2 linked regions of the Canis lupus familiaris genome follow. The protein of the gene in region 2 purifies or fractionates together with the protein of the main gene of each other region. This does not show direct contact. Links are inferred from orthologs where the notes say so. Each region holds a gene or a part of one and is shown on either strand. Other genes may lie near its edges. The genes, in order: EIF3H and EIF3D.

Region 1 (14,985 bases), on a different chromosome or scaffold from region 2:
ACTGAGCCACCCAGGCACCCTTCAAATTTTAATTTCCAACTTTAATAGCATGATGATAATCAGGCCAGTCACCATAAGATTTTTTCTGAGAAACCATATCAGAAATCATGTCCAAACAGCTCCTCAAATATTTTGCTTGGTCTTGCTTTTCACAACCCATATGTGGATTCCACTTTTTTGGTTTACTTGATAAATTTGTTTTAGGCTGTGAATAAAACATACTACATTTCCTTTCATTTAATTTTTTTTTCTTTTTTAGTTTTAATTGTATTTGTTGGAAGTTCTAGCAATGGCTGTTTTCATAACAGCCTTTAAAAATTTTTAAAAATCTGCTACCCAAGTCTTCAGCTTTTCACACATGAAGAAATGATTCTGTTTTTATTTCTCCTTTAAACAAGTAAACTGAGGATGGGCATTATACATTAAGGATAAGGATAAATTGATCCTGCAACCAGAGCAGACTTCTCACTGCATGTCTTGGTTTCACATCTGTTTAAGTGAGCTGTTTTTCAGTTCTTTGTTTCCTTGACAATAAAAGAAAAGGGTATATTACTGAAACTCCTAGCAATAATTCCCTAGTTCAGTATTCTAGTTGAATTGGTACTAAAAAGATCCCCATAAAGTTGTTCTTGGTAATGGACCCGATTCCCTGTGAATGTTATCTGTGAAATAAGTATTATTTTTAATTATTTTTGTCCTTCAATATCTGTCATGCAAATTTTTGAGTGTTTCTTATTGGATATATTTCTGAAAAACATTGTAGTAATATAAATGTTAGGAAATGCTTAAAGGCCACATATCTGTGCTTGTCTTCTTTCAGTAATTGGATATATCTAACAATATATAATAATAGTACTTTATATCAAAGACATTTTTTGGTGGAGAGGGAAGGTCTATTCTAGTAGCACCTTTCTCATTGCTAAAATCAGTATAATCTGTCTCTAGGATTTAAGGTGTGGAAACAAATAATAGCTCTGTCTCTGTATCTGGCAGTAACTGTACTTTATGGTTTTCTCCAATGTCACTACCACCATCACTACCATCTCTGACCCACCACCCTAACTAATTGTGTAATGACAGCATTTCTTGCCAGCTCTCTGAGTCTCAGATCTTCTACTGGGGAAGTGAGAGTTGGTTCCCCCTTCCTTAAGGCTGTCCGATTCCCATCCATCCTGCCTTCTTGGGATCCAACTTGATTCTTCTATACTCTTTCCTCATATTTTCAGTTGCTATCTGTACTGGTTTTCTATTAGCTTTCTTGACTTGTTTTTCCCATTAAAAAAAATTGAAAATATTCAGCTCCTTAGAAAAACTGAAAGAGAATGAGCTGATGAACACACGTAAACCGTTTCCTAGATTCACCACTGATCCATCTTGCCATATTTGTACCTGCTCTTTGTCCATACACATAAGTACATGCTTTTTTTTCTGAACCATGTGACAGTGAATTGCTGACATGACTTTTAACCCCTGTTTGAACATACATCTCCCAAGAATAAGAATGTTTAAACTTAAATCTCCTTCATCTTAAAAAACAAAGTTACAAAAAGAGCACTTTTTGACCTCATGCTGTTATTATCCATTTCCTTTCATCTTTTGGTTCATAGTCACCTGTTTGTTTTTTAAGATCGATTTATTTATTGGAAAGAGAGCACAAGTAAGTATGGGGTGGGGGGTTGGAACAGAGGGAGAAGGAGAGAAAGTCTTAAGCAGACTCCTCCCCCATGCAAGGCTCCATCTCCTAACCCTGAGGTCATGACCTGAGTGGAAATCAAGAGTTGGGTGGCTAACTGAGCAGCCACTCAAGCGTCCTGTATTCACCTGTTTTTATAGTCAAACTTCTTAGTGTTCCTTTTCTTCTCTGTTGTCAGAGCTCTCACTAAAGTCACAAAGGGTGACTTTATCACTGTGTTACTACTGGGTGTTGTAGGCACTCAAACATTTAATGTGTTGATGACTCCTTCCTGAAATAACCTTTCTTTTTGGAGTCTGTGCAACTACAACTCTGGTCCTTCTCATTCTCCACAGTGAGACCTCTTTGCTCATCCCTAAATATCATTGTACCTCAGGGTCTGTCTTCCCATGTGTACATTCCTGGGGTGATTTCATCTTATTTCTGTGTCTTTTGCTACCTTTGGCCAGGGCCTCATTATTTCTAGTCCTGATTACTTTCGCAGTCTCCTAACTTCCCGCTTTTAACCTTTTCCTCTTTCATTGTAGTGATCTTGCTAAATGCAAATTGTATGATTATATTACTCCTTTGCTTAACTTTTTGACTGGTTCCCCACTGGCCTTAGAATAGAATCCAAACTTCTAGTCCCGGCGTCCAAGTCACTGTGCTGTGCCTGTTGTCTGCCTTAGTTTCACTGCTGTCTTTCTTCCCAGTCTCACCCTTCTGGGCATTTCTTCAGAGGCATTCTGATTTTCATGTCAGAGTGTCCGAACACACTGCCTTCACCCAGTAGCTGCAGTGTCCTTCCTGTTTTCCTTGTCTCCAGATCCTCTTCAAAAACTCAAAATTCGACTGTCAAATAATCTGGAAGGTCTCATCTGGTCCTACCAAACTATCTTTTCTGCTTCCATTCTGTTAGAGCAAAGACACCACTATGCTGTGTTTATCTGTTTGCATTCCTGTTTTCTCACTAGCATAGGTGGAGTTTAGCAATGTCTTACATAGCTTCAGTAGCTGGTAGAGTGACTGGCAAAGTTCATGTATACTCAGTAGTAGCTATTGAAAGAGTACATTTAGCGGACAGATTATTGTTAAATTTTAATCTTGAAGGAGTTTGGAACACAGTGTGGCTATGCATTCAGTGGACCTGGACATTTGAGTAGCTGCTTGATAGAAAAAATCATTTTAATTGCTCAGCTTGCAACATTGGCCCAGACACTTAATTAGAGGTGAGTTAAAATCAAGCTGTTAAAAAATTAGAAGGAAACAGAAACAAATACTTAATCTCATTTCCAAAGAAAAAGAAATATTTTAAAGTAAAAAAAAATGATTCACAAAATTAAAATGCAATTAAATGGAATAAGAAAAATATGAAAATTTAACTGGAAAAAAGCACTTTTTCAGAAAACTGAAACTTTTGAAAAAAGATTAAGTCATTAGGCCAAGTCACTGGGCCAAGGTTATGTAGATGCTGCCAGTCCTAGGATTTGAGGGTACATTTATTCACACACACACACACACACACACACAGCCAATCCTAGGCTTAGAGGTTACATTTATTCATATGCGTGCACATGTGTGGTGTGCCCCCCACCCCCCTTTCTGTGCTCTTTCTGCTATTTAAGAAGGAGCCAAAACTTGCTAATTTTCTCCAGGTTACAGATACAGTCCGTTTAGGATTCATAATGTAACTGGATTACTTTAATTTATTCCCAACATTCCCAGTCTGTTCCTTCCTAAACCTGCCCCTTCTCTGAAATGCCATAGCCAACCATTCAGCTGCTCAAGCCAGGAAACTGGGAGTCGCTCTTAATTTCTCTCACTTCTGCCCATTTTTCCCATGCTTACTGCTACCATCCTCATCTAAGCCATCACTGTTTTCTCTGTAATACCACAATAATTCTGTGTATGTATGAGTGTGTGTGTATAGTGTTTAAAGTAGAGATAAGGGCAGCTGCGGTGGCTCAGCGGTTTAGCGCCGCCTTCAACCCAGGATGTGATCTTGGAGACCCGAGATCAAGTCCCAGTCCCACGTTGGGCTCCCTGCATGGAGCCTGCTTCTCCCTCTGCCTGTGTCCCGCCCCCCCCCCCATGTGTCTCTCATGAATAAATAAATAAAATCTTGAAAGAAAATGAGTATAAAGTAGAGATAAAATTTACATAATGTAAAATCTACCATCTTAACCATTTTAAAGAGTATAATTCTGTGATTTTTAATATATTTACAGTGTCACCCGTCCTTCCTCCACAACCTGGCAGCCACTCATTACTTTCTGTTTCTACGGATTTGCCTATTCTGAATATTTCATATAAATGGAACCATACAGCAAGAGGCCTTTTGTATCTGGCTTCTTTTACTTAGTGTAATGTTTTTAAGTTTTATTTATATATCAGGACTTCATTCTTTTTATGACGTAATAGTATTCTGTTATATGGGCATACCACAATTTATCCATTCATCTTTTGATGACATTTGTTTTTTTTCCACTTTTTGACTATTATGAATAATACAATTTTTAACATACATGTCTGGTGTCTTGTGAGCAAATGTTTTCAGTTCTCTTGGGTATATCTACCTAGAAGTGGAATTGCCGTGTCGTATGGTAACCTAACTTTTTGAGAAACCACCAAACTATTTTTCATATAGTAGTTGTACCATTGTAAATTCATTCCCACCACAGTGTATGGGTGTTCTGGGTTCTCTATATCCTTGCCCGTACTCCACAATCAACTCTTAACTAATCTCCTGGTTTCTACTCTCCAGTCTGTTCTCTGCATAGTAGCCAGAGTGGTCATTAAAAATTTAAAAAATAATTTTTAAGGATATTATTTATTCATGAGAGACACACAGAGAGAGGCAGAGACATAGGCAGAGAGAGGAGCAGGCTCCCTGTAGGGAGCCCAGTGTGGGACTCGATCCCAGGACCCCAGGATCATGACCTGAGCCAAAGACAGATGCTCAACCACTGAGCCACCCAGATGCCCCAGTCATTTAAAAGTTTATGGCAAAATCTATTGCAACCATGTACAACTCAAGGACACCATTTATGTTGAAGTTGTGGAGTCTCGTTCACGCTAACTGTGGTTGGTGTATTTTGTAGTGCATCTAATGGCTTCCCAGCTGTGCTTGTCCTTTGTAACCTGTCCCTGTGCTCCAGACATGCCAGACCTCTTCCTTTTGTCTGCCTAGTTCTTGCCCTGCTCAGGCATTCGGCACTGATGCTGTCTTCTGCCTGAAATACTTTGTTGCTTGGTTGATTCCTTCTGATCGTTTGCTTTCAGCCTGTTCTCTCCTGAAGGGAAAGAGATATGGCAACCATACCATCTGTATGTCTTTTTTCTCCTTCCCACTCCCACTCATTTGTAAGCTCAGTGAAGATAGAGACCATGAATGTCTCATTCATGATTGTTTCTCTGTTTGCTAACACTGAAGTCAGAACATAATAGGTACTTTGTCCTTGTTTGAAATGAATGAGCAAATACTATTTGTTAACTAGTTATTTTAAGAATACATATATGTAGTAGCAGGCTTTACTCTGGTAGGAGATAGTTGCAAGCAGAAATTAATGAATATGGTGTTCAGAGTACTAACCAGGAGCATCATTTTCTAAGGTGATTTTGGTAAGTGAATTGTAATAGGAATTTCTGAAGAGGAAAAGAAGTGTGAATGACTGTACTACAGATTCTAGGAAGGGCAAGAAGAAAGGAGCCTTCTTTCTTCACTTGGCTTTCCAGAATAAATGCTATTGTTGTTCTTTTAGAACCTGCTAGATAGAGAAACCATGTACCAGAAGTCTTAGTGTGTTGGCATGGTCCTTCCTTTGCATGGCTCCTCATTTAAATGCTCTGGAGCACAGTTGGGGAGAGGGTTGTGCTAAGAAAAAAGGTGCAGGAGTACTGAGCTTAAGTTAAACATGGTTGTTCAGAAAATACACATTATAACCTGCTAGATACGTTTAACAGCCCCTACCCTGATATATGTATGCTCTGACAATAAGAAACTGAGCTATATCAGATACTCTGGTGGTTACAGTTGTGGGTTCAGTATGGAAAGTTTAATAACAAGCTGACTCAGATTCTTTCCTGTCCCCTGCTTTCATGCATATGTGTGCTCTCATTCATTTGGCAAATGACAGATCAATATAATATCTCAGGAGTGTTTAGAGCAGTGGCAGAGCTATAGCTTTAAAGTATGATATGTCGGTATATTTACCTTTCAGCAATCATTTGGGGAAGAATCTACAGTTGCTGATGGACAGAGTGGATGAAATGAGCCAAGATATAGTTAAATATAACACATACATGAGGAACACGAGTAAACAACAGCAGCAGAAACATCAGGTTAGTGTTATGGGAAAATTTGACAAACACAATTCATTTCTAAGTATGGTGCTTCAAGAGTTATCTTCAAAATGATCAAAATCATATTTGATAAAGCATTGACTATTAGCTAGTAACTCTACATCATATTTAATTTATTATCATATATTATTTCTAAGTTGTACTTAAAAATACCTGTTTTAAAGAGAGCCGATGTATTAAGCTCAGATTGTGATGGCAGTGTTATGCAAATAAGAGATACATTTATTGAGAAAATCAGAGGCAAAAGAGATTCTGGAGTGTCACAGCTCATTTCTTTACTAACTATAATTGGTTTGGTAGTGGCTCATTGCAGCATAGTTAGCAATCTTCAGTTCATTTGAAAAACTGAGCAATTGTGATTAAGAGCAAGCAATTTTGATAGGAAATAATAGACCAACTGCTGTGAAATAGATAGTATAATACAGATAAAAACCCCAGAATTATCTGAATATTCTCATATGCACATATATACTGCTGTGGCCATTTAACCTTTTCTTTATTCGTGTTGCTTGACGGTCACATGATTTTCACAGTTCCTGGAATATTGTTTTTAGACTGTATTGCTCTGCAGTGTTCTTATAGCATTTGATTCATAGATAAGTTGATTCCAGAATGTTCATCTGTGAAAGCATTTGTATATGATTACTGTGTGTTCATTAAAATATATGTTAAATTAGGTATTAACTATAGTTTTCAACACAACTACAACTTAAATGTCTCTGAGAATTTTATATTTTTAAAAATTGTTTTAATATCAATATTCATATATAGTAAAATTTGAAATACTTTGTTTCTGCTGCACTGAGGATTTAAAAGACATATGAATCTATAAAGTATATACTTTTTAACCGAAAAGAAAATGAGTGGTAAAGATGGCAATGGTAAAAAAAACTTATAAAGGATCAGGGGAAGACAAAAAAAAAAAAAAAACCCTAGCTTAATTCCATTCTCCTGCTGATTCTTCCCATAGGTAAAGGATGCAACCTGGAGTATCAAGACACTTGATTCTGGAACCAATCTTATAGATGTTTTCCAGACTTCCAGCATGTCTTAAAATTTTGCATTTGATGTTCATTTGTACCAGCACCATTCAGTACCCTTTTTAGATTTGTCAGGCTTTTACCCTCAAACCCTGTGATAAGTTTAGAAATCTTTGCAAAAAGGAGGGTATTCTCCTTCTTAAATTTTTTACCACCTTGGTTTCTCATTACCTGACCTTCTAAGGCTGCATGTGGGATATTTTCCCTCTGCTATTGTGAGCAACCCATAAGTATTAATCTCTTGATTATGATTTTCTCAGTAAGTTTGTACATACCTTTAGATGTATGCCCACCTTCTTAGATTTCTAGGAATCTAATTTGACAGTTTTTGAAACATTATCGAAGCTAATATTCATTCTTAGCTATAGAGCTAAAAGCACAGCTGATTAGTAGAAGTATTTACTATAATAACAATAGTGATGATGTTAACAGTATCAGCATCATCAGCATTATTGTTGTTTTGGTCAGTAGGGATAAAGTTGAAAAAGTTCCCCAGTGTGGTGATTGATTACTTTGTTACTACAGTTAAGATGAGTCATACTTATAATGCTGTCATTTACCCCATTTTCCTAAATGGTAAAAACACTGCCCTTCACTCACTAATCATGAGCTTCTTTGCCTTTAAGCCCTCATTTGCCACATAACCAGTTTGCTTTCTGCATGTCATTGGTTATAGACTCTTTTTTTTTTTTTTTAAAGATTTTATTTATTTATTCATGATAGTTACACAGAGAGAGAGAGAGAGGCAGAGACACAGGCAGAGGGAGAAGCAGGCTCCATGCACCAGGAGCCCGACGTGGGATTCGATCCCAGAGCCTCCAGGATCGCGCCCCGGGCCAAAGGCAGGCGCCAAACCGCTGCGCCACCCAGGGATCCCATGGTTATAGACTCTTCAGAGCTCAGAGTAACACAAGAGTTTCCGATAAAGAAATTTTCTTTGTTGTCATATTTATTAGCTTCTTAGAAGGAGGAGTTACCATGGATTACCATTTATAAAACTGAGCTTGGAATTCAGGGCAACGGGGTTTTTCTGATTGCATAACTGAGGAGGCTTTTTATCTCCTCGGGTAGAGAAAAATAACCAAATCATTTCTTCTCTGAATTTTAGTATCAGCAGCGTCGCCAGCAGGAGAATATGCAGCGCCAGAGTCGGGGAGAACCCCCACTGCCTGAGGAGGATCTGTCCAAACTTTTCAAACCACCTCAGCCTCCTGCCAGGATGGATTCTCTACTCATTGCAGGTATTGTTAGCCAGTGCAAACATGGCTAGTTTTCTCTTTTCCTTAGGAAGCAGAAGACAAGAAGAGATTTATAAACTGAAAAATACATCGTAAAAGCTAGTGTATTTAAAATGGTTGAATGATGAATTCGAATCTAGCACCTATAATTTCTGAAATTTAAGAATTTGTCAGTCTTTGTTATTTCTAAGGTCCTTTCAGTGCTTCTTCATTCTGTGTTTATCTAAACATTTTTGAGATGGCATTATAAACTTTCTAAAGTGGAAAGATTTTATTTGAGTCATCTTTCATAGAAACCAGCGGAAAATGTTTACGTTCCAAAGCAGAAGATCATTCAGCTCAAGCTGCTTGCTTTTCATGTTCCAGCCTAGCCCCACGTCTGCATGTGGGTGTTTGAACTGAATTGGATTTTCTGACTGCAGGAAAAGGATTTCCCTTACTTTGCCTTACATTGTAGCAACAGGAATGCAATTCTGGATGTGCTTTGGGAGTATCTACCATTTAATACTGCCTTTCAGTGGTGGAGTCTTATGTCCTATGTCAGGACTTGATTTTGCTCTTATTTATCTATAATAACCTTATTTCTGTATAAATGTTGCTAAATACTGTTTGATTCAATCAGCCGGTTGCCTGTGAGAGATTTATTAGAGTGAAAATCCTACTTAAAGAAAAGCTGATATTCCACAGTTTCTCAGTTCTGCTTATACATTTTCAGTGTGTGTAGGGGGGGTGGGGTCAGATTCCAGATTTTTAAAAACTTTCTAGAACACATATAAATTAAATTTGGGAAACCGAGGCACATTCCTTACTTAACATCCAGTTCAGGCGGAGTTGTATTATATATATAAAACACCTTGCATGAATGTTGTATCAGATTAGATAATGAGTTTTAAGACTTAAAGAGCAGTGACGGAGCCCTTTCTTCATGGGGACTCTGTTTCTGCTCTGTCTTGGATCAGAAAAGGAAACCTTAATATTTTCAGAGCACAGCCTGACAACTCCTGCACTTGTGCACATCTGGGTCAGGTGGGGCCATTTCGTTTGTAGTTCTGTGATTTCGCATCTCCTTTGTACCTGGCTGAGGAGAGTCCGTGCTGTTTTCCCACTTGTCTTAGTACAGCGTGTGTCCGATCTCCATGGTCACTGCCTTCTGAACAGCTAATGTGTATGTAACCACTGTAGTTTTTCTTCAGTCTTCACGTAACCAAGAGTGGAAGGTAGCTTCTTTTCAGAAGAACTTATGTTCTTTATTATAAAGGTGGGGACAAACAGAATTGATTCCTATAAACTCCTGATTGAAAACAAAATTTTGATGATTCTGTATTATGCTGATTTTCTTGCTTCCCTAGTGTTCTAAGTCATTTTGTAATTTGTGGAACATTATGACTTTCTTTCTCACTTTCCCCAATGCACAGGCCAGATTAACACTTACTGCCAGAACATCAAGGAGTTCACTGCCCAAAACTTGGGCAAACTCTTCATGGCCCAGGCTCTTCAGGAATACAACAACTGAGAAAAGGAAGTTTCCAGAAAAGGAGTTAACATGGACTCTTGAGATCACATTGGGGCAATCCTTGGAAGAAATACATTTGTGTATTGAAAAGTCTTTCTAGCTAATAATAAAATAAAAATAAAACAACCTTGACTGCTTGCTTATTTGATTTTACGTGTAGTATATATAGCTTGTTATTTTTGTTTTGCTTATGCTATTTATCTCCACAAGATAAAACAGATTTGACCAGAAGCTACATCAAGCTCAGAGCTAGGGGCTCCCTCACCTTTGCTGCTACATCTGAGGTGCCACATTTCAACATATAGTCCAGTGCTACTTGTCCTAACTCCTGACCCGGAGGCCCTGGCACCTACTGTGAATTCTTTACCTCATTGCTCCCAAAGTAGTGCCCCTAGAAGTCCAGGCTTTGTGAGCTTGCCCAGGCAGCCCTCATCCTCAGGCCTAGAATTGCTTGGCATGCTTCTCATTGCTCCACTTTTTCACTTCCATAGGTAGTGGTCAACCAGTCCCCATGTTGATAGGTCATTAATCAGGCATGATAATTTTTTTAAAAGTTTCATCCAAAAAAACATATTTTGTATGAAAATGAAATACATTCTGTGTATATATATTTTATTTAGAACTTGTTTATCTTTTCTATACGATGAAACATGCTGACAGCATATTTTCTAAGTGGGGAGAGAAGAATTGGAAAAACAGTACTACTTTGAGGGAGGGGGAACCTTTTAACTTAATATTTGAGAGATCATCAAGGGGGCACCTGAGTGGCTCAGTTGATTAACCATCTGCCTTTGGCCCAGGTCATGATCCTAGGGTCCTGGGATCCAGCCCTGCATTGGGCTCCCTGCTCACAGGGGAGTCCCCTTCTCCCTCTGCATCTTCCCCTGCTCGTATTCTTTCTTTATCGTTGGCTCTCTCACTCTCTCACTTTCAAATAAAATCTTGTTAAAAATAAAAAATCCTGCTATTTTAACACCAAAGTAAGTGAGATCTACAGTTGGTGGAAGTGTGTCTGTGAGGCTCTTATTTAGTGATTCTCACCTTGAAGATATGGCCCATAGGAAGACAAAGAATGGGTAAAGGATAAGAAGAGTTGAGAAACCCTTCCCCCCCCCCCCCATATTGTTTTGGAGGTACCCCTGGGGCTCCAGAATCAAACAGTTGGATTGAAACCTGACTCTTTTCCTCTAAGGTGTCCTTAAACTAGTTGCTTAGTCTCCCTGTGCCTCATTTTCCTCATCCAAATTAGATGAGAAAAGGAGACAAGTATATTACCCTATAGGGTGGGTGTGAGTGTTAAGTTTATTGAAGGGCAGCCTGGGTGGCTCAGCGGTTTAACGCTTGCCTTCAGCCGAGGTCATGATCCTGGAGACCTGGGATCGAGTCCTGCGTCGTGCTCTCTGCATGGAGCCTGCTTTTCCCTCTGCCTGTGTCTCTGCCTCTCTCTCTCTCTGCGTCTCATAAATAAAATTAAAAAAAAAAAAAAGTTTACTGAAGATTGGGGTAAAGCACCTAGAACAGTGGTTGTTATGTCACAGATGCCATAGAGTTTATGTTGAGAGTTAAATTCTTGGGATATTGGATTGTTAGCAGGGTTTTGCTTTTAAAAGGTCATGGCCTTTGAACATTGTAGAATTCAGGGACGCCTGGGTGGCTCAGCGGTTGGGCATCTGCCTTTGACTCAGGGCGTGATCCCGGAGCTCCAGGATCGAGTCCCACATTTGGGCTCCCTGCATGGAGCCTGCTTCTCCCTCTGCCTCTCTCTGTGTGTCTCTCATGAATAAATAAAATCTTTTAAAAAGAACATTGTAGAATTCAGATATTTGCTCACACAAGTTAATTTTTCTAGGATAAATTTCTAGAAATGGACTTAGTGGTCAGAGAGTCTGTAAAATTCTGAGGCTTTTTACCCGTATTGCCAAATTGCCTTCAAGAAAGGTTATACTGATTTGCTCTCCCACCCATGGTGCTTCCTTATATGAGTCACATATTTTGAGTGTGACTCTGTGTTACATAGATGAGATGTATTGATAAGCAAAACTGGTCATAGTCTCTGTCCTTGTGGATTATATACTCTTGGTTTATTTCCTTGCATTCTAATTCCCTACATTTGGAATTCTGTTGGGAGTTAAAACACCCTTGAGGTATCAAATAGCAAAATAGAAGGAAGGAAAATCAGCTCAAACATAATTACTGTTTTCCTCATGGTGTAAGATTAATTTAACAGGATTCAATTATATTTTTAAAGACGTGGTTACTTCCTAAATTCCGTATGACTATTTAGATACCCATAACTCAGAGTAATATGTGAGTACACACTTAATGGAATATTTTAGGTGTTTTGGGTTAGGAATTACTGTAGTGGGAAAAACTGTTTAGGGAAACATGTCAGTGGAAATTAAATCTGCACAGTATGTAGTGTTAGAGACTAGCTTCTGTTCGGCATTTGATTTGAGTGCTATATTCTGACATTTTTCAGGAACAGATACGTATGGTTCATCTTCTATAAATATTTGCAGTTTCTTCAAGTTAAAATGAGAAAAGCTCATAAACTGAGTATCAGGTCTAATAAATCATTCACTTACCCAAGAACAAAAAGACAGAAAAAACTAGCATGTTAATTTAATGGAAAATTAAATGTGACAAAGCGGAAAAGTAAAACATACTTGAAATTGACCCCATGATCATTGATCACCTTTTTAAGGTTCTAGAAGACATAGCATTATTCTTAATTGAAACTACCTGAGAGAATAAATTTTTAGCCTGCCCCGGATAACCTTATTTTTTAAATATTGAGGTAAACTAAAAACTATTTTCTGCATTTTTGGAAGCCTGGAAATGGAGGTGTAGTTATCTAATGTTTACTTAATCATTTTGGATTTTCAGATTTTAGTGTTTTTAGTGTTGTTCACACTATTTTTATTAACAGTCTTTGGAAAATCTAAGTGAAACCTTCACTTTCAAACCATGCTGGCATTGAACTCTGATGTAGATATTAGAGTCTTACGAAAGAATTATTTGAGTTTTATGGTAAACATTTCTCATTCATATTAAATATATGCCATTTGTCCATTATTTTCCCCTTTGTCTATGATAGACACAGAGAGAGACAGAGAGGCAGAGACACAGGAGGAGGGAGAAGCAGGCTCCATGCCGGGAGCCTGACGCGGTACTTAATCCCAGGACTCCAGAATAGCGCCCTGGGCCAAAGGCAGGCACTAAACTGCTAAGCCACCCAGGGATCCCCTAAAGATTTATGTATTTATTTGTTGATGATAGTCATTTTTCCCCCTTAATCTTCTCATTGGGCATCTTCTTCTGTGATAGTCCTATCATAGAAACGGGACAAGGATGTTTAAAGAGATAATACTAACGTGGGGTCAAGCCAAATGCCTGTAGGGCCTATTTTAGCAATGATTCAAGTGCCCATCTGCAGAGAGCCTGATCAAGCCATCAGTGTCTTGGACAGTGCTTTGGTCTGTCTCAACAGGATTCCTTCTGTTGTGGCAGCAGTTAGTAGATAAATAATGAGGGGGGAAATGAGGATCCCGAGTCCCTTAATGTTTACAAAGATGAGAAAAAAAAAAAGCAGTGGGTGGTTTCTGCATCCCATAGTCAAGATTGTGCAATGGAGGAGTTAGAGCTGGCTTATCGTGTGGTGACTTCCAAATTAGAGTGAACCTCTTTGCATGGATTGGAATAGGATTGATCTAACTCCAGATTACCTGAGACTGGGAGGGAGGGGCTGGGGAGCCAGAACTACTGGGAAATTCTAATTTGCTGGAGCAAACAGCTGTGGCCTAATGCCCATTGCCTTGAGCTTTTCTTTTTCTTTTTATGTAGAAAAAAGAGTGATATGTACTTTAAGCCTGATTGGCCCTATAGTAGAACCCATAATGGCTATACCAAAGCCTCAATAGTGATTTAAGAGAGAAAATCCATGGATGCAGAAATGCTTTCCAAGAGCTACTACCCCCAGCTTGGGCCAGTCCATAGGGGTTTGGTTCATCCTAGACAATTCTTTGATTCCCTGTATTCTTGTTCTCAGAACTCTCACAGAGTTAGGCCCTCACATCAATTGTCATATGATCTGTTTGTTAGAGGCACTGTTTGATTCCATGGGATTGATGTTGACATCAGTTGCATTTTCTTAGGACTGAGTTAGACAACCCATTTCAGTTCTTTGAAAAGATTGGATGTAGTAGCCTTAGAGTCTTACTAATTTAAGTATTCCCTGGAACCTTCATGAGTTGAAGGGATAGTAGATGGGATGCCAAATCTATTCTTGTAGTGGGACTTGCTGGAAGCCCTTTTCAGTAGGTTGCAGATACATCTTTGGTCTTCTATGTGTATCTTCCTTTCGAGAAAACACTAAGAAAATCATAATCCATTGACCTTATACTACAAAGAAAGGTAAAAATGACTTTCTCTTCTTTTAATCCCCAAATTACTGTTTCTATATTTGAACAAAAGTGAAAGACTCTACCACTTTAACAGACCTCTAACAATACAGGGTGGCCCATGTCTCCTTATTTATAAGTTTAGTTGATTGCAGCAGGAAAATATTGCTTCTGGCATTTGTGTCAACCTCAAGACATAAACTCAGGTGTCACTTCTATTTCCTTCAGTAATATTTTTTTTCATTGACCTTTCTCCAGGGCACAGCCATTTCTGGCATCTTCCATCTTCCTTTGTGGACATGGAGGCAAAGGATTTGTTTAACTTTTCAGCAGTGTTTACCGCTTCTGACGGTAAATGGTCCTTGCCTTTTCTTCTTGGACCATAGTCTCTCTTGCCAATGTTTTACTTTGTATGTATTGGAAACAGCTCTTATTTTGTCAGATCCCCCGAGTAATCTTTCCCCACCTTTGTTTATCTTGTCATTTGGCTTTCACTTGCTTAACTCATTCCTAGATTCAGTCTGCTTGTGTTTTTATTTTGTGTGTGTGTGTGTTAGTTTTGATTCTTGCCCTTCTCTGGCTTGAGGTTTTTAAACTGCATTTTATTTTTTAAAATAGTCACACAGATTTTAATTTTTCCTTAATCTGATCATGCATTTCTGAATGTCATAATTCTCCAGTCAGGCAGGCAAGTGTCCCAGTAACCTCATCTCCTAGATCACAATGGTGAGGGTCTATTTTTCTCTTTGATGCGTGCAGC
Region 2 (15,778 bases):
CCTCCTCCCAGCCTGACCTCCTCAGAAACTCGGGTATTTGATGTGTCCCAAACTCTTTGGTCACACATTTGCTGACAACCAACTGGTGACTCTTAGGAAAGGCCAGTTTGAGGCACCAGGGTGTCAGACTCTTGGTTTCAGCTTGGGTTGTAATCTCAGGGTCGTAAGATCGAGCCCCATGGTGGGCTCAGTGTGGAATCCACTTGGGACTCTCTCTCTCCCTCTGCCCCTCCCCACTGAGCAAACAATCTCTCTTCTCTCTCAAAATAAATACATAAATCTTACCCAAAAGGGAGGAGGGGAGAAAAGGCAAGGCAAGGCAAGACCAGACCAGCTTACATTTGTGGCAGATTTTAGGCACCTAAAATGGTCACAACAATCTCTCTCTCCACGTACTCTTCTAGAACCTTGTGCCTTGACTCTGGGCAGGCCCGTTACTCACTAGTCACCAAGAGAAGGGGTGGAATTGATGCTGCCTGATTCTGAGACTAGGTTGTAGAAGGCCGTGCCACCACTTCCAGCTTGTCAGCCAGAATCTTGCTCTGGAAATCTTCAGCCCCCATGGAAGTAGTCTGGCTGCCCTGAGGGCACCACACTGTGAGAAACCCCATCTCTCCGCATGGACTCGCCCCATAAGGAGACCCTGAGACTAGATGGAGAGAGAAAGAGAAGGTTCTGGCCAGCCCCCAGCTACTCCAACTCCACCCGCGTCCAACTAATATGGCCTGGAAGACCCCAGGCTACCAGCCAACTCTTTCCCAAATTCTGAAATCATAGAAACCAACAGAGATAATGAAAGGATTATTGTTGTTTTAAGCTGCCAAATTTTGGAAGGATGTGTTGAACAGGAATAGATAACCAGAACAGAGGGCAATTTTATTTCCCTCCTGCCTAGGGAGACCAAACTCCCAGTTGGCATGGAGCTGTCCCAATTTATACCTTTTGTCTGGTATAATTCTTGATAGTGACCCCTTTGTCTCCCCAAAGTGCCCCAATTTGGATGGTAAATTATATGTTCAAGTTCTTGAGCATACCCTAGATCCTAACAACGCTTTGCCTCACAGTCTAGAATAATCAAAATACATGAGATGCCTCGCATGTAGGCAGCATTCAAAGAGATGGATGCTTGCTTTTTTGTCCCTTCCCCTTCTCCCTTTTTGTTCTGTCTGAATGCTCAGCAGTTTTGCCAAGGGATGTCGTCAGGCGCAGCCCCCTCGCAAGCTCCAGAGTGCCTTCCTCTAATATACGTGCCTCAGTGAAAACAGGGCACCTGCTACACAAACACAGCTTCAAGACAAGCCCAGAGTTCCCCCTTTTCACCAGATTCCTGTCACTAAGCCCCTCCCATGGGGAAATTCTGGAGCTGCCACTGATATTCAGGATAGTAAGGGTCTGAATAAATTAGAGATAGCAGAGGCAAGAGACAGAGGAGGAGAGGGAGAAAAAGAGCCTTCCAAACCTCAGGAAAGGCCTTCCCCTCCGCACCCCACACTGTAAGGGAGGGGAGCGTTTGAATCCACAAAATTGCTCTCAAATCCTGTCTCAGTCTTATTCACTGGGCGATGGGCCCAACTGGCCTGAGCCTGCTTCTCCTCCCCCACCCCGCCCCGCATAAATGGGAGGGTTGATGCCTGTTTCAGAGAACTCTCCGAAAGAATCAAAGAGATTATTAATGATATAAAGCACTCAAAAATGCTACTTCTCTTTTGAAGGTAGTAGAGGTTCCTGTTAGAAAATGCCTTTACCTTATCTGGAAGGGACACGCCAGAATGGTACAAAAGTCTGGTCAGAAAACGGAAATAACGATGCCTCACCTTTAGAGACATGAAGCGAGAGGATGTTAATGGAGGGCCTGGCAGTCACCTGTGGCTCTTTTTTCAATTTAGAAATTGCTTTGTAGTCACTGACTCAGCTAGACCTGCAGCTATTTGAAAACAAGAATCTTACTATCAGTCATTACACATATAGGGCCCTGCTGCAGAGGGGGGCTCTCAATGATACTCATTGAATGAATGATCACAGACCAATTTTTGATCCTCTTATCCACTAACTTAGTCAACCAATACTAATTAGGGACCTACTCTACGTCAAGCACTGTTCTAACAAATGGGAATGCAAGCCCTATCGCCACTCCCTCAGGGTGCTCCATGTGATGGAAGAGACATGTGGATCAAATATGTATGCACATAATCATTTAATTACCATTGCTACAAGTGTTCAGAGGAGGAAGCACAGGGAGTGGAAGGGAAGGTGTCCCCCAGGAAGTGCCTTTTAACCAAGAGCTAAAAAATACTCAAAGAATAGAGATGACTTCCATGCAGAGATGATAGCTTTTGGGGAATTCTTGAGGAAGAAAGAGTCATAGAACCCAGGCACTGAAAAGAATGTGGGCCATCAACTCAATGAAGATGCCCAAGCCAGCAGCTGAGAAGTAGCTCATCCACCCTGGCAGACAGCAAGCTCCAAGAAGATGAGGGGTGCCTGGACAGAGAGGTCAGAAGAGGGAGAATGTGTTCATGTGAAGGGGGGTGTAGAGAGGGAAGTTAAGTCTCCAAAAAGGAAGGTAGGTAGAAACCAAGCAGGAGGGACACCTGGCTTGGTCAGTTAGGCATCTGCCTTCAGCTCAGGTCATGATCTCAGAACCTGGAATTGAGCCCTCCATCAGGCTCCCTGCTCAGTAGGGAGCCCACTTCTTCCTTTGCCCCTCACCCTGATTGTGCTCTCTCTCTCATAAATGAATAAAATCTTTTAAAAATAAAAAGAGAGAAGAAAGAAACCAAGCAGGAATCAGAGAACCCAGAAGAGGGGAGGAGTGATTCCAGAAGTGGCCATTTTGTTAGAATTCTGACAAAATTCCCCAATGTGGGGAAATGAGGACCAAGTGGCACTTGAAGTGACACCAAGAAATAGACAAAGGAATTGGAAATGTTTACCGAAAAGTCCATAGAGGGTAAAGTGGCATCAGAGAATGAGTTCCCCAGCACTGGGCACATCCAAGCAGACGTAACACAACCAGCTAGACAGGTGTGACAAGGAGATGCCTGTCTAAAGTGAAGGCTGGACTGGATGGATGATTAAGGAAATCTCTTGAAGTCCCTGGCACACAAAAATTTGTCCTTCCCTCCTCAGAAGGCCACATAAGGGAAGAGAAGGGTTCTGTTCCCTCTTCCAGAATGCTGGTCTCCAGGATCTCCCAGCTCACTCCCTCATACTCTCCAGTGTCTGCTCAAAAGTCACCTCCCCAGAGGGGCCTCCCTGAACTCCCCCCTTATAAGTGCCACACCCCAGACCATTCTCTAACACAGAGACCTGGTGCAGCATCTTTACCTACGTCTCACATCTCTGTACATCTGCCCAATGTCTACCTTCCCCTCCTTCAGAGCAAGACCCTCGTGCACTTTGCTCCCTGCTGTGTCCCACACCTAGCCTATACTGGGCACATGGAAGGTGCTCCACAAATGTCTGTTGAATGAGTAAATAAGATCCCAGCTTTGCCTTTCACTAGCTGTGTGACCTTGTGTTAGTGACGTTACCTCTCTGAGCCTCACTGGACCAACTGTAAAATTTTTATTAAGATATTGTAGTTGTGGGGATCCCTGGGTAGCTCAGCGGTTTGGCACCTGCCTTCAGCCCAGGGCGTGATCCTGGAGTCCCGGGATCAAGTCCTGTGTTGGACTCCTTGCATGGAACCTGCTTCTCCCTCTGCCTGTGTCTCTGCCTCTCTCTCTCTCTCTCTCATGAGTGAATAAATAAAATCTTTTAAAAAAAAGAAAAAGATATTGTAGTCATGAGGTTAAGGACCTTGTCACAAATTGAAAGACTGATGATAGCCATTGTTGATAATGACAAATCAGTCATTCAATTGCCCAAAGGCAGTGTTTGTGCCTCTCCAAAGTGGGAAGACACTGTGAAATCTTTTGAGAAATGGGGATCTGCCCTCAAACCTACATTTTTCTGGCAAGAATGTTAAGGTTTTTAATTTTACAGCCTCTAAAGGCAATATCCAGAGGCGCTGGATTCATTAAGCATTTCCTGGGCATGCTCTGCGTACCAGGCACTGTGCTCATGAAACAATGCAAATTCAGGGTCTGGATTATCAGAGGTGGGGGACACAGGTACCAGAACCAGACATGTTGTAAGCACAGCAATGGAGGGCTCCACCAAGTGCTGTGGACACACAGAGGAAAGGACCTGTCCACAGAGGTCACTTGTGTATCCAGCAAACATCTTCAAGCACCAATGGTGTGGTAATTCTAGATGCTGAGGATACAACAGTGAACAAAGCATGTAAGATCCCACCTTTTATGAGGCTTCCATTTCTAATAAGGAGATAAAAAAAACAAACAAGATAATTTTTTACAAGACAAATGTTAGTCATCCAGCAAAACACCAACACAGAAGCAAAAAGCAGCAGGAGCCACGTGGCCTCCTCAGTTCAAAACCCCAGTTTCACAATATACTGTTCGGCCTAGAGAACTCCTCCCTATCTTCATCTGCAAAACGGGAATAGTAGGCTTGACCTCACACAGCTGTGGTGAGAATTAAATAAGTTAATGTAAATCCCTGGAATAGTGCCAGGCATGTGATAGTGAGAAAGTAAATAAGCACAGCATGAGGCTACTGGGAGGAGTGGTCAGGAAATCTCTGATGAAGACATGAGTGCATGAAGATCTAGGGGAGATGCATTCTGGGCACCAGAGGACCACAGGTAAAAAGGTCTCTGGGCAGTAATGAACCTGGGTATGACCCAGAAAGAGAACACTGCCAATGAGAAGCTGCCATTTCGAAATTTGCAGGCCACAGAACAGAGTGCAGGATTTTATCCCAGGCTAGAGGTAAGCTACTAAACCGTTTTGAAGGAGGAAGATGGCAGGTCGGGCACACTCTGATTTAATGCAAAGAAGGGTCATCCCAGCTACATGTGGACAGTGGGAAAGACAGAGAAGCAGCAGAGGTGTGGGCTGAGAAGAGGAATGAAGGCAAGATCTCCAACCCAAAGCCATAGGCCCACTACTGAGAATGAGACAGGACACTCCAAATCCTTCTCCATCTGGGGAGACGTCTGGGCCAAAATATGGGAAAGATGATTAAACTCTGACACAAGGGAGAGACTGCAGCAGATGGCCTGTGAACCCACAGTAAAAAAAAAAAAAAAGAAAGACATGTTCTAAGCAATTGAGCAAAAATACATCTCCCCTTACATTTTAAAACACCTTACAATTAATATTGATCTTAATTTCACTAATGTTGAGTGCTTGTTTATGTGCCCAGGCTAATGTGATAAATTTCTCATTCAATTCTCATAAAATCCCCATGCATTCACTCAACAATTCGATAAGTCTGTATTACTGGCCCTACTCTAGGCAAGACAGACAAAGGCTCTATTCGTATGGAGTTTATACTCTAGAGGCAGAGACAAAACCTAAACAAGAAAACAAAAATATTTCAGGGGCACCTGGGTGGCTCAGTCAGTGAAGCATCTGCCTCCAGCTCAGGTCATGATCCCAGAGTCCTGAGATGGAGCCCCACATCAGGCTCCCTGCTCAGTGGGGAGTCTGCTTCTCTCTCTCCCTCTGCACCCCCTACCTCCCCCACCCCCCGCTCATGCTCTCTCTCAAATAAATAAAATCTTTTAAGAAAATTTTTCAGAGCATGATGAGAACTACGAAGGAAATGGAGCAGAGTAAGAGGGTGAGGAGGGACGCAGGGAGGAACAGCCTCCTTAGAAATGGTGGTCAGAGAAGATCTCGTTCACGGAGGAGAGAACTCTTGGAACAGAGATGTAAATGATGGGACAAGGCAGCTACAGTTAAATCTGGGAAAGAGTGTTCCATGCAGGCGGCACAGCCACTGCCGAGGCCCTGCTGAGCTAGATATGAAGTTGATGTACTTGAGGCAGAGAAAAAATGAGCAGGGTGGCTACAGCACATGGAAAGGCAGGTATAGGGGCACCAGGGTTGTACAGTTGGTTAAGTACCTCTTGGTTTCAGCTCAGGTTGTGATTTCAAGTCGTGAGACGGAGCCCCTGTGGAGCTCTGCCCTCAGTGTGGAGTCGGCTTGAGATTCTCTCTCCCTCTTTCCCTACCCCCACCCCTGCTTCACTTGCTATCAAATAAGTAAATCTTAAAAAAAAAAAAAAAAAAAAAAAAAAAAAAGGATATAAAGTTGAAAGGTAGCCAGGGACCAGACAGGCCACAGGAGGACACTCATGTTTCACTCTGAGCGCGTAACAGGAAGCTGCTAGGGGACTGTCAACAGATCGCTTTGGGTACCACTGGGGGAGGAACCTAGAGGAGCAAGAGTGGACACGCGGAGTCCAAGCAGGACGCTGGTGCTGGTGGGGGAGGTGCCAGCGTTCAAGATGTATTTTGAAAGCAGAACAAAGAGCAGCCCCGGGTTAAGGACTGAATGTGGGAATACGGCGGAAAGGGAAAAGGAACTACCAGCGATAACTACACGGCTTTGCACCGAGCACCATTAAGTGGGTGCCATCAACAAAAATTAGGAAAATTGGAAACTGAGCAGGTTGGGAGACAATCTGTGGAAACAAGAGTACCCAGTAACATTTTCATTTTGCAGATGAGTAAACAGCTTGAGAGAGATGGAATAACCTGTGGGTGTCATTTACTATTTTCACACGAACTTATTTTTACCCTCATAGGGCCCCAATATTATTTATTATCTCCAGTCTGCAGATAAGAAAACTGAGGCCCGGAGAGGTGAAGCCTGCACAGCTAGTGAGTGGCAGAGCCGAGCAGGAAATCGGATCTAAGGGATTTATTTTCCAATGAAGAGGTCAGGCTGGAAGACTGGTAAGGAACCCTAGCCGGCCGGATAGCAAAGGACCTGCGGCTGGAATAAAAACACATCCTCGGATTGGATTCTCTTTCGGTGGTTTTGAAATCGCCGACTAGGATTCCAGGAGAAATTCGAGGCCGGTAGTCGCAGACGGGACAGCGAGCACATCACTGCGCACTTGAGTCCCCACCGCTACCGAACACGCAAGGTTCCCGGCCTCCAGCCGGACGACGCGGTGGCACAATCCCGGGCGCGAGCCCGGGGGCCGCATCCTCCACGTCAGCGGCGGACGTCGTCGTGCGCGGAGTCCGACCCCGGAGGGCGGCCCGCCTGCATTCGCGGCCCGGGCTCCCTGGGACCCCTCCGCCCTCTGGGCCTCGACCTGGCCCCTGCTGTGGGACCCGAGCCCCACGAACGGCTGGAAAAGGCCGGAGCCCCGGTCCCCGCGGACACCGAGGCGCCGGAGCGTCGGGGAAGCACAGGGACGCGGAGCTGCCCTCGCGCTCCCCGCCTCCTGCCTCCAGGGCACGGCCGCCACGTTTCAAAAACTCGGGACGCCCTCTCGGGGCGCCGCCGGACGCGCCCGTGACGTAACTGTAAACACACCTCCGGCGTCTGGGCTCCTCGGAGACCGTAAGGCCACCTCGCAGAGAACAGTGACGAACTTCCGGGCGTGCGACGGAGACCGTCGCTTTACGACCCGTGCGTTCCGCGGTCGACTCCGGAGGAAGCTAGGGGGCAGTTTACGACAGCGCCGATGGTGTTTGCGGCGCCGGCCGGTGCGCGCGCATCTTTCCTCCCTTTTTACCGGGTTCCTCGGAGGGCACCCGGGTGCGCGGTCTCCGGCCCGGACCATCTCTCGCCATCGGGGCCGGCGGAGGCCTTTACAGGTGAGAGGAGTGTTCCGTAGGGCTCCGCGGGTCTCTGGAGCCGGCTTGCGCTGGGCCCGGCCTTCGGAGGGGAGGCCTCCCGGAAGAGACCCCCGTACCCCGCGGCCGCCGCTGCTCCTCCGCTGGGCGGGGCAGGACTCCGCCTTCGGGGACCCCGGGGCCCGACACACTTAGGGATGCGGGGCGCGGCCTTGAGGGTGGGGTCCCCCGGTCTTAGGCGCCGCTTTGCGGCCACGGCCTGAGCGTCTTTGACAGTATCTCTTAGCGCCGTTGGGTCTCCGGGCCTTCAGAGGGGCCTGCGGCTCGCTGAGTTTGTGTGAAGGTTATGGGGGGCTCCAGGCTGAGCAGGGCTCGACCTGCTCCCAGGGGTTCCCAGCCCAAAGGTTCTTCCCTTTTCTGCGAAATGGACGGCGGTGGCGGCGCAGGTCTGGTCTGATCTGAGGCGGTCTCCCCCCGGGGCCGGTGGCTTCTGATCTGTAGTGGCCTGCCCGCCGAGCGCCCCCGCCGAGCGCCCCCGCCGAGGCCCGGAGGGGCCTCCCCCGCCCCTGTAGCCGGTACGGCTGTCACCGGCGCACCTCACCGGCTGTTTCTGCTTCTGGTTCCATCCTGCTCACTTTTACTTTACACGCGTTGAAGCCAAGGGACTTCCTCCCACCCGCTGGAAAATGCATGCCAAGCCTTGGGTCTGTTTCCTTCGTCAACTGTGGCAGAACAGCCAGATTTTTTAAATATCATTAGTGTGTTACTAGGTACCGCCTAAAGCCCCGTTTCTTCTCGGGCTGCTCCCCAGCTATAACAACGGGAAGAATGCTGGGCTTAAGACAGACAACCCTGGAAATCAACTGTGTTTTGAAGCAGTGGGCAGATGGACAACCTAATTGGCCGAGCTGCAAAATTTTAATCTCCAAAAAGGGCGTGTGGGTGTGGTTAGTGCTGTTAACTTCTTTAGCATAGTGTCTGACACATCGTAGGAGCTCAGTAAATACTCATTTTAACATGAATCGTCGTGAAACTGCCACCCCTCTTCTCAGTCCTCTTCCCCTAGTATAGCTTAAGCTGAGAATCGGAGGAGGGAGCTCTCAGGAACGTTCCCTGTTGCTCTGATTCCCGGTGTCGCTTCTGTAGGAAGCCTGACTCTCCCCAGTATGGGACACGGAGGAGAACTTACTACAGTCGCTGTACCTGTTCCCTGTGGTTACTCTCCAGGCTCCCGAAATGAATTTTCCTCTGGGAACTCAACCTGAGGATTACGACAGATGGATGATAAGTGCATAGGTCTTTGATCGGAACTGTCAGGCAAAGATCTGTTCTGTAGCCCGTGGCTTTTACTCACTTGGGAGGAGCTATAGCATTACGCAGAGTGTGGGTTCCAGCCAGACTGCTTTTTTCAATTTTTTCATCAACTAGCATTGCAAATTTGAACGATTTCTTAGCTTCTGTGTGTGCCTCAGTTTTCTTATCTGAAAAGTGGGGATGACGCTAGCCGCTCCCTCAGGATTGTTGGGGGCATTCACTGACTTTATGCAGGGTAGATAAGAACATTAACTGGTACTGATAATATCTACAAACATGTGATGTATGGCCACTTTTATGACCTAGAGTTTATGGTAACCTCAGCTTTCTGACCAGCTTTTAACTTGGCTCTGTGTCCACTTGTTCTGCATAAGGATTTATATTGATAGAAAATTAGAAAAACAAGAAAGAAAAGTTAGATATCAGGATATATTTCTGGACTCCTTTTTTTCTCAGCACTCTGCATGTAAATATATTTTTGCAAGTCCCAATTGTAATTGTGTGGCATTTTAAAATGAAACTATTCTCCTACATGTAACTATCAAGGCCTTCACAATGATCTTGTAGGGTCTTGATTTATTTTACAGATGAAAAGACAAGGCTTGAGGAAGCTACAAATTGTATACCTTGGCAGAGGTGTTTCTGAGAACTAGAATGAGGTTATTACACTTGAGACAAGGTTACTCATTCCATCAAATCTAAGACACCACTCTGAGACAAGGTTACTCATTCCATCAAATCTAAGACACCACTCGGTTTAAAAAGCACTACTATGTTATGTAGCACTAAAAAAGAACACCTGCCAATTAAGACAGCCTATCAAGCATGAGATGCAGCCTCATTTCAAAGACATTATAGTGGGAAAAGCGGGTGTCACAGAATCAATGCAATATGGTAATTTGGTTTTGTTAGTGGTCTTCTAAGTATTTCCAATATTATCTATAGGAAAATAGTAGAGCTCAACAGTTGGGTGTTCCATATTGTGTGTTGCTTTTTGAATTTTATCATTGTGTCTTAGATTACCTCAGTAGGCTTTTTGTGTTTGGAGGCCTTTCTTCGTGAAGCTACTCACATTATTTGTATTTTTAAGGTTTTAGAAGATGGCAAAGTTCATGACACCCGTGATCCAGGACAACCCATCAGGCTGGGGTCCATGTGCGGTGCCCGAGCAGTTTCGGGATATGCCCTACCAGCCATTCAGCAAAGGAGATCGGCTAGGAAAGGTACTCACCTGTTAAAGTAAATCTTTTAAGCTATAGCTGCTACTCTCTGTTAGTTAATTCCAATTGTATTATCTCAAAAGCATAACTTGTGAGTTCCTTATAGGGACACCAGCTGGGGAAGGTTCTCACATCTGGGTACTTGCAGTCATCATTGGAAAGCTGGGCACTTACAAAGGCCTTGGGAGCCGGTCCTTCTTACATTGTTCCCAGACTATGTCTTCACTTACAGGGGTTTCTGGGTTAGGAGAAGCATGTCTGATTGACCTGTGTGCTCTTTCTTCTCTTGTTGCTTTTACAGGTTGCAGACTGGACAGGTGCCACATACCAAGATAAGAGGTACACGAGTAAGTGTTCAACTGACTACCCAGATCAGGGCCTTGGGAGGATTGTTACTTTTTCTAGTAACCTCCATCCAAAAGCATTCTAGAACAGGAACAAAATGCTAATGATAATTCATGGTTTTTAAGGGCATAGTCTGAACTGTAGACAATACCTACTTTTTTTTTTTAATGGACTCCAAACTTAGATTGTTCATTAAAGAGGTTTAATCTGTTATAGTGGAATTTTTTTCCTCCCACTTTTAGGGAGCCATGAACCTTTTCACAGATCCTTGAACTCATTCCCTTTTTGCACTCCAGTGCCTGGGAGTTACTGAACCTTTGAAGCCAATCAGTAGACTCCAGATTTTAAGATCCTGATGGACTAAATGGGTTATTGTTTGTTTTTCTGTGCCAGTTGAGATTGTTGGAAGTGGCTAGTTGGAATACTAAGTTAAGTTTATCAGGATTGAGGTCAACAGTAAAGTATATCATAACCCATTAGGCAGTTGATGCAGATAATTGCATATTTGCATTATGCATGCCACATATTTGTCCCTTCTGGGAGAGTAAATCTTAACTCCTGTTCTTACAGAATAAGGCAGGGTGTGAAATGGGCTTGAGGTCCTCAGACTCTGTTTTGACTCAAAAAGTTCTTTAGACCAGAACTGTTCAAACTTGAATGTGCACATGAATCTCCTGGGATCTTCTTAAGAGGCTGATTCTGATTGAGTGGATCTGGGGCGAGTCCATATGCATGCGCTTCTGCGAAGGATCCTGAGTGCATGCTTGAAGTAGCAGGGCTTTACACCAGCATGTGTGTAAAGTCTGTAGGTGGTAGCTGTTACACATCACTGCCTTTGCTTACAGATAAGTACTCCTCTCAGTTTGGTGGTGGAAGTCAGTATGCTTATTTCCATGAAGAGGATGAAACTAGTTTCCAACTGGTGGACACAGCACGCACACAGAAGACTGCCTACCAGCGGAATCGGATGCGATTTGCACAGGTAGGCCAAGGGCCAGCAATCTTACCATCTTGGAGCCATTACCATTGGTTGCCACCTTGTGCATACTGGTGAGAGGAAAGTGCATTCTCATAGGTCTTCCAGTGACTTTCAAGTAGCTGACCAGTGACACGTTGTGCTAAAGTAAACTTACACTGGGTCCAAAGATGCATTTTTCTTAAAGGTTTTATTTATTTGAGAGAAAGAGCATGAGCAGGGGTGTGAGGGGGTAGGGCAGAGGGAGAAACAGGGCTGCCCACTGAGCACAGCCCAACCCAGGACTTGATCCCAGGACCCTGAGATCATGACCTGAGCCAAAGGCAGGTGCTTAACCAAATGAACCACCCTGGCATTCAGATAGTTTCGGTTTTTGTTGCCCAGTGGCTAGGGCATCATGCCTTTGTGCTAAGAGAAGGTGTTTATGTCACGTAGAAAGGGGCCTGTTGCCTCATTTGATTGCCGTGTGCAGGTTTTATTAAGTAGAAGGTCCAGTCGGGCTGCATCTTACTACGTAAAGAGGCAAACTGTAACTCTAATAAAAGCCCATAAGCCTACTTCAATAAAAAACGTGCAAATGTATGTCTAGGCTAAACCCAAGCGCTCCCATTGAGCACTGCCTTTTGTCTGTCAAATCCCCAAGATTTTGACATGGGTGTTTTTTCTTAATTCCCAGCGGAACCTCCGCAGAGACAAAGATCGACGGAATATGTTGCAGTTCAACCTGCAGACCTTGCCTAAGAGTGCCAAGCAGAAAGAGAGGTGAGGTTTTCCATCCTCCTGGAACACGCTGTTCTTCAAGACTGACTGTACTCTGAAATCACTGAGCCAAAGCAGGAGGATGGTTGTCTTCCCCATAATTGCAAAAAAAACAAAACAAAACCGCCCTGATTCCAGGGAAACCACTGGTTTAGCCTGCCATCGTCCTCCAAGGGCTATTCTTGGCAGATAGAGGAGCTGGATGGTACTTGGCAGTGGCCATGCACACTGGTAGGAAATGAGGGCAAGTAAGTCAAGCCCTGGGGCTCACGTAGGCTCGGTTCTGCTGTGGCACAAGTCCAGGGGCATCCTTCACACTGGGCCCTGGGAGCTGTGTCATGCAGCAGCCCTGCCTCAGGCTGGGGCTGCCAGTAGACTCTGCAGGGGGGGCAAAGCCTACCTGCTCGGCACTGGGGAGCAGCGTACTTCTAGCACTCTAACATGGCATGCTTTCACTAGACTCTTTTTCACTAAGCCCCTATTTTCTTTGTTGCGAGAAGTCCTGATGTTGAGGACGAGGTTTAGTGGAAGAGAAGGGCAGCTTCTGCCTTTTGAGAAGCCATTGACTTAAAGGTCTGCACCCACAGCACAATCTTTTTACCTTTCTAGAGAGCGCATACGGCTGCAGAAAAAATTCCAGAAACAATTCGGAGTGAGGCAGAAGTGGGACCAGAAGTCACAGGTAGTGTATCCACACCAGAGTTTTCTCTAGAAACTCAATTTTGCTGGTTTATTTGGTTTTATGACCACTTTATTGAAACAAAATCCACATGCTATACAATCCACCTACTTAAAGCATACAAGTTCAGTGGTTTTTGGTACATTCACAGATACGGGCCAGTGTTACTGCAGCCAGTCTCGGAACATTCTCCTCATTCTGAAAAGAGCCCGGTACCCTTCAGCACTTAGTCCTTGTTCTCCTCAGCCCTTGGCTGTTACCAGTCCCTTCTGTCTCTGGATTTGTGCTTCTAGACATTTCACATAAACAGAATCCTAAACAGAATGTAGTCTTTTGTGTCTGGATCCTCCCACTGAGCATGTTTTCATAGTTCATCCACCTCGTGGTGTTTGTTCATGCCTCCTTACAGCCAAACTTGTATGGATATACCACGTTTTGTTATCGGTTCACTATGGTTTCCGCTTTTTGCTGTTATGAAAAATGTTGCCATAAGCATTCGTGTACAGGTGCTTATGTGGGCACTGTGAGGATAGAAGACACCCGTAAGCAAGAGAGAAGCTTCAGTGGCAGCAATTAAGATTTTGCTGGACACAATGCTCGTTGTGTGTTAATGTCCTGAGAGAAATAAAAAACTGCTAAAGCTTCTTTTCTGAAATACATACACGTGAAAGAGCTGGTGTTCCCTGGGTGCTGACATCACCTTCAAGTAAAAGTCCTGATTGATTTTTATTTCTTGACCCCTTCAGTCATTTTCTAGATCATAAACTCCAAAGAGTCAGGGATTCTTTTATAAAGCAGCCAACACATGGCAAATGTTCTGAAGAGATTTATTGACTAAAAACCCTTCACACTGTTAACATGCCTTTTGCTTGTGTTATGCCCTAGTTGTAATTCTTTTCCCTCCACTGGTTTTGCACTGCAGAAACCCCGAGACTCTTCAGTTGAAGTCCGTAGTGACTGGGAGGTAAAAGAAGAAATGGACTTTCCTCAGTTAATGAAGATGCGCTACTTGGAAGTATCAGAGCCACAGGACATGTAAGTGGCATCGTTTGCTACCTTCCGCCACGCACTTAGGTGTGTGGACCTGCTGCTGGTGACTTATGTTCCTAAGCCATAGTATTTCCAAAAGAGAATTTGAAGCTGCTAAGACATTGCACAAGATTAATGTGTTTTTAAAAATCAAGGCTAAGGCGAGACTAGGAGAAAGAAGTTCGCTGATGTTAAACTTGAGAGATTTCTTTCCACTTCCTGGCATCGTGAGCAAAAGAGAAATCAAGTTGTGTGGCTCTTTTGGCAAGAAGAGAGAGTAGTTTGTCAGAAGCAAAGCTTTTCCTGACATTACAAAGAGCTGTTTACCTCAAGTAGCAGATCAATGTCAGTGGGGACCGGAGTACCAGGTTAGAAGTCAGTGCATCTGGAGGCCTCTAGAACTACCTGTCTCTTCATCTTGGCCTCAGTCACCATGTCATTAAAATGTGGAGGTTGAGTCAATCAGTTTTGTTCATGCTGCTCTGTGGGGCCATATCCAGAGCTTAGGGGACGGGCCCTGAGTGAACTCTGAGAACTTGTCTTCTGTTCTCATCAAAGAAAAACCATTTCTTATTTTTTAGATTTCTGGATAAGAGTTTGGATTCAATGTCTTTTCGTTTTAAGATTTATTTTAGAGAGAACGCACACAAGCAAGGGGATGGGCAAAAGGAGAGGGAGAGAATCTCAAGCAGGCTCTGTCTCCCTGCTGAGTGTGGAGCCTGATATGGGCTTGATCTCACCACCCTGAGTTTATTACCTGAGCCAAAATTCAGAGTTGGCTGCTTAGTGGACTAAGCGACCCAGGCACCCTTCTATAATGGCTTTTAAAATACAAACAAAAAATAACAAAAGCAGCTGATGATCTTCCCGTTTCCTTTGTGTGTCTTCTCCACTGTCCCGTCAGCGAGTGTTGTGGTGCCCTGGAGTACTACGATAAAGCCTTCGACCGCATCACCACGAGGAGCGAGAAGCCGCTGCGGAGCATCAAGCGCATCTTCCACACTGTCACCACCACAGATGACCCTGTCATCCGAAAGGTGGGCACCCTGAAGGAGTGCTGCTGGCTTCTACAGTTGAGGCTGCAGAAGGAACAGCACACAGGCACATCCATGGATCTTGGGACCTCAGAAACCCTTTTAGACAAGATGCTCCCAAACGGGACAGGACTAGATGGGAATACAGGCACCTTGCTGGCTACACCATAATGTTGGGGTTAAGCGGAGGTGGACTCGAATCCCAGCTCTACCGGGCTCCCCCGCACCACCTACCTGAGGCCTTTTTTGCTTACCCATGAGATGGGTTGAATGTGCTTACCACCAGCCACTGGAGGCAGGACGAAAGCACTGCAAGGTGCCATCCTGGAATATGGCAAGTGCTCAGAGAGCTGCAGTCCCTGTATCCCAGGGTGGTGACTGGCCATGGAAGCTTGTGGGCTGGTTTGCCGGACTCACCCCTTAAGACAGGTTAGAGGGGTGTGCACGTGTGCTTGAAGGCAAGAAAGCTCCCTGCAGGGGAGTCCTCCGTGCACGTGGGCTGTTTGGCCTAAGTGTATCTTCACATCTCTCTTTCTCTCTGTCCTCTTTGCAGCTGGCAAAAACCCAGGGTAATGTGTTTGCCACTGATGCCATTCTGGCCACACTGATGAGTTGCACCCGCTCCGTGTATTCCTGGGACATTGTTGTGCAAAGAGTTGGGTCCAAGCTCTTCTTTGATAAAAGGGACAACTCTGATTTTGGTAAGAAGCCTGTCTGGGAGCAGCACAAGGTGTCAGGTGTTCTGTTGGTTTCGA

Evidence for each region.
Region 1: the proteins of EIF3D (region 2) and EIF3H purify together in Homo sapiens (affinity purification with mass spectrometry; 10 studies listed by BioGRID and IntAct, counting the BioPlex papers as one, with this or other methods). This does not show direct contact. The link is inferred for Canis lupus familiaris from reciprocal best matches to the Homo sapiens genes EIF3D and EIF3H.

The regions. Positions count from the first base shown.
Region 1 is NC_049234.1:16,474,151-16,489,135, reverse strand, and holds the end of EIF3H (eukaryotic translation initiation factor 3 subunit H), read left to right. Parts: intron 1-5,892; coding exon 5,893-6,013; intron 6,014-8,182; coding exon 8,183-8,315; intron 8,316-9,727; coding exon 9,728-9,825; 3' UTR 9,826-9,957; downstream 9,958-14,985.
Region 2 is NC_049231.1:28,883,620-28,899,397, forward strand, and holds the start of EIF3D (eukaryotic translation initiation factor 3 subunit D), read left to right. Parts: upstream 1-7,537; 5' UTR 7,538-7,688; intron 7,689-10,071; 5' UTR 10,072-10,081; coding exon 10,082-10,204; intron 10,205-10,502; coding exon 10,503-10,548; intron 10,549-11,391; coding exon 11,392-11,528; intron 11,529-12,149; exon of another isoform or gene 12,150-12,198; coding exon 12,199-12,284; exon of another isoform or gene 12,285-12,890; coding exon 12,891-12,963; exon of another isoform or gene 12,964-13,882; coding exon 13,883-13,995; exon of another isoform or gene 13,996-14,893; coding exon 14,894-15,026; exon of another isoform or gene 15,027-15,576; coding exon 15,577-15,724; exon of another isoform or gene 15,725-15,778. UniProt on the Homo sapiens protein: mRNA cap-binding component of the eukaryotic translation initiation factor 3 (eIF-3) complex, a complex required for several steps in the initiation of protein synthesis of a specialized repertoire of mRNAs.